Canis lupus familiaris: one gene and its partner. The protein of the gene in region 1 purifies or fractionates together with the protein of each later gene. This does not show direct contact. Links are inferred from orthologs where the notes say so. Each region holds a gene or a part of one and is shown on either strand. Other genes may lie near its edges.

Evidence for each region.
Region 2: the proteins of POC1A (region 1) and NUDC purify together in Homo sapiens (co-immunoprecipitation; 3 studies listed by BioGRID and IntAct, with this or other methods). This does not show direct contact. The link is inferred for Canis lupus familiaris from reciprocal best matches to the Homo sapiens genes POC1A and NUDC.

Annotation. Positions count from the first base shown.
Region 1 is NC_049241.1:38,006,331-38,010,245, forward strand, and holds part of POC1A (POC1 centriolar protein homolog A), read left to right. Parts: intron 1-607; coding exon 608-723; intron 724-3,915.
Region 2 is NC_049223.1:72,616,264-72,620,976, reverse strand, and holds the start of NUDC (nuclear migration protein nudC), read left to right. Parts: upstream 1-1,792; 5' UTR 1,793-1,924; coding exon 1,925-2,005; intron 2,006-4,108; coding exon 4,109-4,186; intron 4,187-4,713. UniProt on the Homo sapiens protein: Plays a role in neurogenesis and neuronal migration. Necessary for correct formation of mitotic spindles and chromosome separation during mitosis. Necessary for cytokinesis and cell proliferation.

The DNA of each region.
Region 1 (3,915 bases):
GGGTTTATAAATGAAAGGCTTGTCAGGTTCTTGTAAGTTCTTGGTGGCTGTTCACACTGTGCTGCATCATCAGGAGAGGGAGGAGCCTGCATTAGAGCAGGGCCTCACCTGTTCTGGTCTCCTCAATGAACCTCAACTTCTGCCCTCCTCAGGTAGGCGGGAGCCCCAGGGAAAGGCGTCTCCTAAGAGCTGGCCATGGTGCCAGCCTGGGTGTCACCCTTGGCCTGTCTCCTGCAGATGGGTCAACCAGTGGCCTTGGGGTCCCACTGGCCCTTTGGGGCCAGGCCTCATCGCTTTGATGAGGGCCCTTGCTCTGACTCTGAACAGCCTGAGCTGTCAGCTGTCGTTTAGGCTGAAGACCCCTTTCTCTACTTGTATTTAGAGGTGGACGCTGGGATTCGGTCCCTGATGAGTCCACCTCCGGTCACTGTTAGCCACTGTTTTTGCCCTCTCTCTGCTGTCCCTTGGCCACCTGGTAAAGAAAAAGGGCAGAAGGGAGATATTTTGGGTTTGGGGAACAGCTTGAGCAGATGTGCAGGGATGGGAAAGGGGGGTCTGTTCTGGGCCAGGACAGTCCTACAGCATGCGGCGGCCCCTGCCTTTCCAGCTTTGTCACCTACGTGGACTTCCACCCCAGTGGCACGTGCATCGCCGCTGCCAGCATGGACAACACAGTGAAGGTGTGGGACGTGCGGACGCACCGCCTCTTGCAGCACTACCAGCGTGAGTGTCCCTGAGCAGCCACAGCATGACGGTGCGGAACCTGGCGTCAGGCTTGTGGCCATCATGCTGAAGCAGGCCTGAGGACGGCCCTGGTCAGTGGGGAGGAGTCCTGGGCCCATTGGGATCTCCAGGGGTCAACTCAGGTTGGAGACCAGAATCAGGAAGCAGCCCTGGGGCCATGTCCCCTGAGAATTATAGCCCTCAGAGGTGCAGAACAGCGAGCAGTCAACATAGGCCATCTTAGGCTCCTGCTGGGAGGTAGGGTAGGGACGGACCGGGTGTGATTAGGGTGAGCTGGAAGGTGCTGGAGTGTGGAACTTGAGAGCAGGTGTGACTGGGCAGGGCTGTGAGTCACCTTGGCCGTGGGGATGGGGAAGGGAAGGGAGGTGGTGATCTGCCACAGGAGGAACTAGGAGTGGGGCCAGGGGCAATATGGTGGGCAGGCCTGTGGGCCTGGGGCTAAGACCAGGTTGGGGTAGAGCTGGAGTTGTTGGAAAAACTGTGGTTATTGTCTTGGGACAAGATTTAAAGTCCATGGGCTACATCCAGAATTCACCCCTGAAATGGAAAGGATGCGTCTGGACAAAGGTGTTGGGCTTGGGGTTCAGCTTTCCCTTGCATCCCCTCCTAGCTGATTCTCAGCTGTTGAGGACAGCACTTCCTTGAGGTAACTGAGGCTAGCAGACCTCCCATGTTGAGGGAGAGGCTCTTGGTCTTAAAAAGCATTTGGCGGAGGGTGGGCTTTGCAACCAGCCTCAGTATTTGGAGTTGTGGGACGTTGGGCAGGGCATTTGACTCCTTTGGGCCCCCTGGGACAGTGATAGGGCCTCCTTCACAGGTGGTGTTGGGAGGGTAATGAGTTAGTCTCTGCCAAGAACTTAGAGAGTGCCAGGCACAAAACAGGAACCAAGTAAGGGGTTCAGATGCCCGTGTTGCCAAGTCTGGGTCCGGAGATCCTGGAGTAGGGAGTCTGGCCTGCATTGCCCTACACCACCACCAGGTGGCAGAGGCTAGCCACTCTTCCTTAACAGAAAGCCCTGGGGCTTGTCGTAGCTGCAGCTGTTGCAGACAGACCTTCTAGAACAGAGTAGCTATGGGGTCTACCCTCTACTTGGAAACCACAGCTTTCCTTCCCTCCTTCAGGCTTAGAGGCCTCTCTTCTCTGGGCCAGGCCTGGGTTGGAGTTGGCGCACATCTGCAGCGGTTGACTGGGGGAGGGTTGGCAGGTATGGAGGAGTGCCGGGGCGGGAAGGTGCCTCTGAGTGTGGGGTCAGGAGTATTGGGAGGGGGAGGTGACGAGGCCAGGCAGGTTAGGAGTATAGGCTGTTTCCTGTCTGTAAAGGGTGATAATAGTACCTCATGGGATTTGTGAAGATGTGTTGGGGGAGTCTACATGATGATTATAATACAGTACTAGAAATGTGGTTAGTACCACATAAATCTTTCTCTTCTAATTTGTATTATTATTATTATTTTTTTCATCACATAAGTCTTGACACTGAGGGGAGAGGATCTCTAGGTGGCCATGGGAGAGTCCAGCCTCACCTCTGATGGATCAGGAGCATGGGTCTGGGTTTGTGGCATGCACCAGTAGGAACCCATTGGGGAGGGCGTTGAATGCCATACTCTGGCCCATGGTCCAAAAGATGCAGCCTGGCTGGCAGTGCTGGGACTGGTCCCATTGCTCGAAGAGCAAAGGTATGTCTGAAAGGACATACAGAGCCTGCCTGGGTGGGAAACTGGTGTGCTTGGGCGACTGGTGGGTGGGCTACTTATGCCCCATGTCTGAGTGAGAGGAGGGCATCCAAGTAGGGCAGGGATCAGGTCCAAGGGTTAGGTTTTGGAGATTGAGAGAGTCAGTAGGTGACATTACGGGTTGAGGGTCCCGCTGGGCCCAGAAATCTGGGCCTTGAGAAGGGCTGAGGCCATATCATGGGTCCCTATGATTGAGGGGCCATGGAGGGAAAGGTCTACAAAGCAGCCAGAGTGAAGGATGGAAAAGGGCTGAGAGGGCAGGACCAGAGGCATAAAGAAAAGCAGAGTCTCCTGAAGAGGGTGATCAGGAGGTAGAGTGATACAGAGCAGTTGAGAAGGGTGGCAGGTGCTGGAGAGAGGTCCCTGGAGTTCTTGAGGGGGCAGGCTTGGCAGTGGGTGGGCCGGGGAGTCAGTGACTGGAGGGGCTGGGGATGTGGTGAGGGGGCTCAGGTGGCATCAGGAGCCAAATCCTGAGAGGACCCGGGGTACATGAGGCTTACAGGCTCTCTGCAGAGAGATTTCAGTGTGTTTTTGCTATTGTCCTTTGCTCTTATGACAGACCTACTCTGTCTTGTTCCTAAGCCACCTGAATACATATCAGAGGCCTTGAGTGGCTTGGAGTACCCTGTAAACAACTGAGTTTCCTTAGCTCCCTGCCCAATACATGGTGCACAGGGCAGCAAACTCATCCCACTGCCTCTAAACTCACCCTCTGGAGCTCAAGGAGAGCCACGTGGATCTGAGGATGCTGTTGGGGGACATACCCCTCACACTTTATGCTGTTTGAGGGACCTGGCCAGGTCTGCTCAGGTCTACTGGCACCTCTTAGGAGCTGCGTGGCCGAACCTTCGACCTTAGAGGCTCTCACTAGCCCCTTAGTAGCAGCTGCTCTCTCATCCTCAGGGGTACAGGGGCATCTCTTTGGAGGCTGATTCTCCAGAAGGACTCCTGGCACTCTGACAGCAGACACGAGCTGAGCTGTTTTTCACCCCTGATCCTTAGGAAACCCAGAGGAAAGTTTTTAAGAACACAGACATCCCCTATCTCCCTTGGTGACTCTGGATGAGTACCAGGCACTCCTGGTGGGCCTTGGGCACATGAGGTTGTTGGGCTTTTCCAAGACCTTTTGATTCTTGATGCTACAGTGTGTGGTCAGCATTCCCAGCCCGCCTGTGTCCAGCTGCCCCAGGGTTGTGCCTCGTGGAGGATACTTCCTGTCCCGTGCTGGGTTGTTGGAAGTTAATTTGGGCAACAGCAGGCAGCTGGTACCGTTTGTCTCAGGCAAGGAGTTTCTTGGCTCTGGTCTGTCACTGTGGGGAGCAATTCTGGTTTCCCAATTCAGCAAGGAGATGGTGGGGCTGTTGGAGCCCTGGGAGTGCCGGTCCCCACGGAGGTGGGTTAGGCTCCATATGCTCTGAGCCCACAGTAAGGCTGTTC
Region 2 (4,713 bases), on another chromosome or scaffold:
TTGGGTTGCTAGAGCTGTATAATAAAATACCATAGACTCTGTGACTTCAACAGCATAAACTTAATTTCTCAGCTCAGGAGGCTGGAAGTCCAAGATCGAGGTGTTTGCTTTCTCCCACGTCCTCTCTTTGTCTTGTGGAAGGCTGCTACCCATGGCCTTTCCTCTGTGTACCTATGATTTCCTAGGGATCTCTCCCTCTTCTTGTAAGGACACTCTTTCATATGGGATTAGGGCCCCACATGCTTATGAATTAATTTCACCTTAATTACCTCTTTAAATGGCTCTTGGTCCAAAACGTCACATTGGGGGCTTCAACATATGAATTTCGGGGAACACAATTCCATCCAGATCAGAAGCCTAAAGAAAAAAAAAGTGTGTCTAGAAGAAGGGGCAAACTGTGTCAAATGCTGCTGAGAAGCTGAGGAAGATAATGGGGCATCCGGGTGGCTCAGTGGTTGAGTGTCTGTCTGTCTTTGGCTCAGGTGGTGATCCCTAGGTCCTGGGATCCAGTCCCACGTCAGGCTCCCCACAGGGAGCCTGATTCTCCCTCTACCTCTCTCTCTCTGTGTCTCTCATGAGTAAATAAATAAAATCTTAAGAAAAAAAAAAGAAGTTGAGGAAGATAATTGTGGTTCATGCGCTTTGGCATAAAAAAGTCATTGTACCCTTTGCTAGAGTCTTTTCAGAAAAGGAAAGATGTTAGGTAACAAAGTGGAGACATGTAATCTTTTCAAGTTTTGCTGTGAGAACTGAAAACCGGCGTGGTAGGAGGAGAAAAGCAGGGGTCACAGAATAATAAAAAAAGAAATAAGGGACATTAGAACAGCTTTGCAAATTGAAGGGAATGATCCAGAAGAAAGAAATCTGTGATGTAGGAAATTAAAAAAAGGATAAGGGGCGTGTCCCTGGGTGGCTCAGCGGTTTGGCGCTGCCTTCAGCCTAGGGTGTGATCCTGGAATCCCGGAATCGGGTCCCACATCGTGCTCCCTGCATGGGGCCTGCTTCTCCTTCTGCCTGTGTCTCTGCAGCTCTGTGTGTCTCTCATGGATAAATAAATATTTAAAAAAAAAAAGGATAATAACGAGGCTAGAATCCCTGAAAAGACTAAGATGATGAAATTCACTGCAAAAGTGGAGGGGTTGGCCATCTTTAGATGGCTGGGTTGTGTCCCCCACTAACGGGAGTGAAGGTGGAATACAGCAACCATTATGTAATTTGCAGAGCCCAGTACAAAACGTGCTGTTTCTTGTTCAAAAATTTAGATTTTCAGGACTGCATCAGAAGAACATTAAAGCCAAGCACGGAGCCCTTCCAAGACGGACGCCCGCGCGACCGTACGGTTTGTAATCCCACGAAGCTGGTTCTGGCGAGTATGCTGTGACGACGGAGGTAGGCTGTCCTTTGGGCCAGCCCCGGCTCCCTTCTGGGCCTGCACTGCCTCATGGTAGCGCTGGAGAAGAAGACGAGGGACACGTTCAGCCCCGCCCTTCTACAGGCTGGTAAGTCACTCTCAAGGAGGAGGCGCAGAGTTTGTCCCTTTTTAACTTCGAACCCGCCAGATTTGTAGCTCAGGGTTTTCTGGAAGGCTCCAAAGCATCTGGTGACCATAGCAACTCACGCCAAACTCCGGATCCCTTAGCTCCGCCCACCGCTTCCTGAACGGGTCCGTCGATTGGCTCAGCGGGCGGACCAATCGTGGGAGACGCGGGCTGTTTGCCGCGCGGTCAATGGTCGCGGGCCAGGAGGGAGGCGGGAAGAGAGGGCGGGAGGGCGGGACCGGCCGCGCGGCGCGTGCGTGTTTCCGGCTCCGCTGCGGAAGGCGGACGGCTGGAGCGGTTGGGCCGGACGCGACTCTAAGGAGCCGGGAGAACGCGGGACGCGAGCGCGGAGCTGGGCCCTCGGAGTGTGGCGAGAGGCCGGCGCGATGGGCGGAGAGCAGGAGGAGGAGCGGTTCGACGGCATGTTGCTGGCCATGGCGCAGCAGCACGAGGGCGGCGTGCAGGAGGTAACGGCCCGCGCGGCGTCGGCCTGGCCTGCTCCTACGGCGCTCGCCCGCCCGCGCGGCGCTGGCACGCTCCCTCCGCTTCCCTACCCTCGGGGGCCGAGATCCACCTCTGGGCCTCGCGGGTTCCTGGGATCCGCCTCCATCTCTGCGCGCCCCCAGCTTCCGGTCTGGCCTCCCCGCCGCCCTTAAGGCCTCAGTCGTTTCTGTGCTGGGCCCCCCGGCGCCACTCAGGAGTTCCTGTCTTAGCAACTCCTGCGTCTCCGAACGCGGCCCTGGAAAACCCGCAGCGCCCCCCTTATCCCGTCCCCCCCGCTCTCACACATGCTTCCGGCCTCGTATCCCTACTGATGGCCGCCCCCGAAGAGCAGTTCTTAGGATGAACCATCCCAGACTTTGGCATTTGCATCTACCAAGACCTGGACCGAGCTGACGAATGCTTGTGGGGGGGTGCGGGGGTGGGGCGGGGCGGAGTGATGTTAACACGTGGTCCTTTCAGGCCTAGAATGGGGAATAGGAAGCCTGGGTTCACCATTTATCTCCACCACCTACCAGTAAGGGGCCTTTCCATATCAGCAAGCCTCAGTTCCTTTTGTCTTTGAGGCAGCCACAAGTCTCTTCTGAGTAGTGAGGAGAGTAGTGTCTTGAAGTAAAGGACAGTAAGGAATTCACAATAAGCAGGTTTGTTCATTCAACAAATATTTGTTGAGTGATGTGTGTCAGATGCTCACCGGATTGGGTCCTGGGTGTATATGTGAGCAGAAGTCTATCCTTGCCCTGATGGAGCTTGGAAAGGCCCTTTCAAAAGCACAGTTCATGCGTACTGACCACACATAACACAAAGACGTACTGGTATAGATGCTGGAGTTGGTGTTTTGGACCAAAACCATGGAAAGTTAGAAGTAGAAAAGCCTATCAGGATCAGTTCCAAAACTCTAATTCTGAAGAGAAACTGAAGGAACTTGCCTCAGATCACCCAGCAGGTTCCTGAATTAGGACCAGATTCCTTAGGCCAGTGTGCTGGTTCTGTGTCTCACTGGGAGCAAGTTTTCTTTGAGCTTTCCATTCCCATTCTTTTAGCTGGGCACCGGTGGAGACCAAGGACTCTCAAGCCCTTTGAGGTGGGAAGAGTTACTACTTTGCTTTTGTGTAAAGTTTCCCTCTCCCATCCTCCTAAATTGTTGATCCCAAATAGGATTCGGAGTGAGTTCATTTTTGAATGAATCAAAAAATTATCTAGAAGTAGAAACTCAAACCATGAAGATAAAGTCTAGCATCAGAGTTAGAACCACTCATTTGGGCAAGTAAAAGGGCTTGTATATGCTAACTCTAGAACACCACTAGATCATTTCATTCAGCAGAAGATTTACTGAGCATATACACTGAGCCAGATCTGATGCCAGGCTTTGGGGATGTAGACAGAATAAGCCACAATTCATGGTACCTATGTGTGAATCGTTCACTCTGGCAGGAGGTCTCTTGCTCTGGGCCAGACATTGCTAAGGCCCTCACCTCCATTATCTCATTTAATTCTCACAAGATCCCTAGAAATAGGCTGGCTGCTATTTCTCTTTTAGAGTTAAGAAACTTCCCTAAGGTGACAGCTAATATATTATCAGTCTGATAATCAAACCCATGTGCTTAATTAACCACTTGGATACTTTACTGTACCAGCCAGAGTTAGTTGGTTTTAACCTTTGAAGTGGCTCCCCTCTTTCTGGCTCTGCCCTAGTAACTCAGCCATTGCCAGTCTGGATGGACTTTTCACTGTCTGGAAGGAAAGCTGGGCCTAGGTGTTTTAAGCCCTGGTTGCAGAGGAGTGTTCTGTATCTTTAGGCTGTTTCTAGAGCCACAAGGAATGTGAAACACAGGCACACATACACAGGAGATGGAAATCTGCCTTTCAGGCCACCTAAATCAGGTTAGGTTAGGCCTCCTAGTGGAGGTGACTAAAGTAGAGCCTGCTGGGGAGCCTGTCTTGTCCAATGAGAGGCTTAGGAGGAAACTACCAAGTTTCTGACTCCCTCCTGGACTAGGATCTGGTTTCTGGGCAGCTGAGGGCTCCCTGGGGGCATCTCCACAGCTTCAGTCTTCTCTGTTTTCCAGCTTGTGAACACTTTCTTCAGCTTCCTTCGACGCAAAACAGATTTTTTTGTTGGAGGAGAAGAGGGGATGGCAGAGAAGGTGAGTGTTGGGGCCTGCTGTCCCTTTGGAACCTGTTTCTTCATAAGGAAAGCACATGTAATCTTCCTTTGGCATTATAACAACCTTCAGTAAAAGTAAAATGCCAAGGGTAAAGAGTCAGGGAAAGGAAGCAAGCTGTCATGTATTGAAGCCCCTCTCCTTGCCAGGTACTTTATCTACTCCTATTTCCTGTGATCCTTTAGCAGCTTGAGAAGGCCAGGTGTTACTATTCCCATTTTGCAAATGAAATTGGCTCAAGGGGTGTTTGGCACTTTGTCCAAAGTCCTTTTTTTTTTTTAAGCTTTATTATTTGAGAGAGCGAGAGAGGGCGAGAGCATGTGCATTCATGCATGCACATGAGCTGGGTAGGAAGGGTAGAGGGAAAGGGAGTCTTGAGCAGAATGTGGAGCTTGACTTGACGCCAGGTTTGATCTCACAACCCTGAGATCACAACCTGAGCTGAAACCAAGAGTGGATACTTAACCAACTGTGCCACTCAGGGAGTAGGATTTTGTGTAAGATCTTGA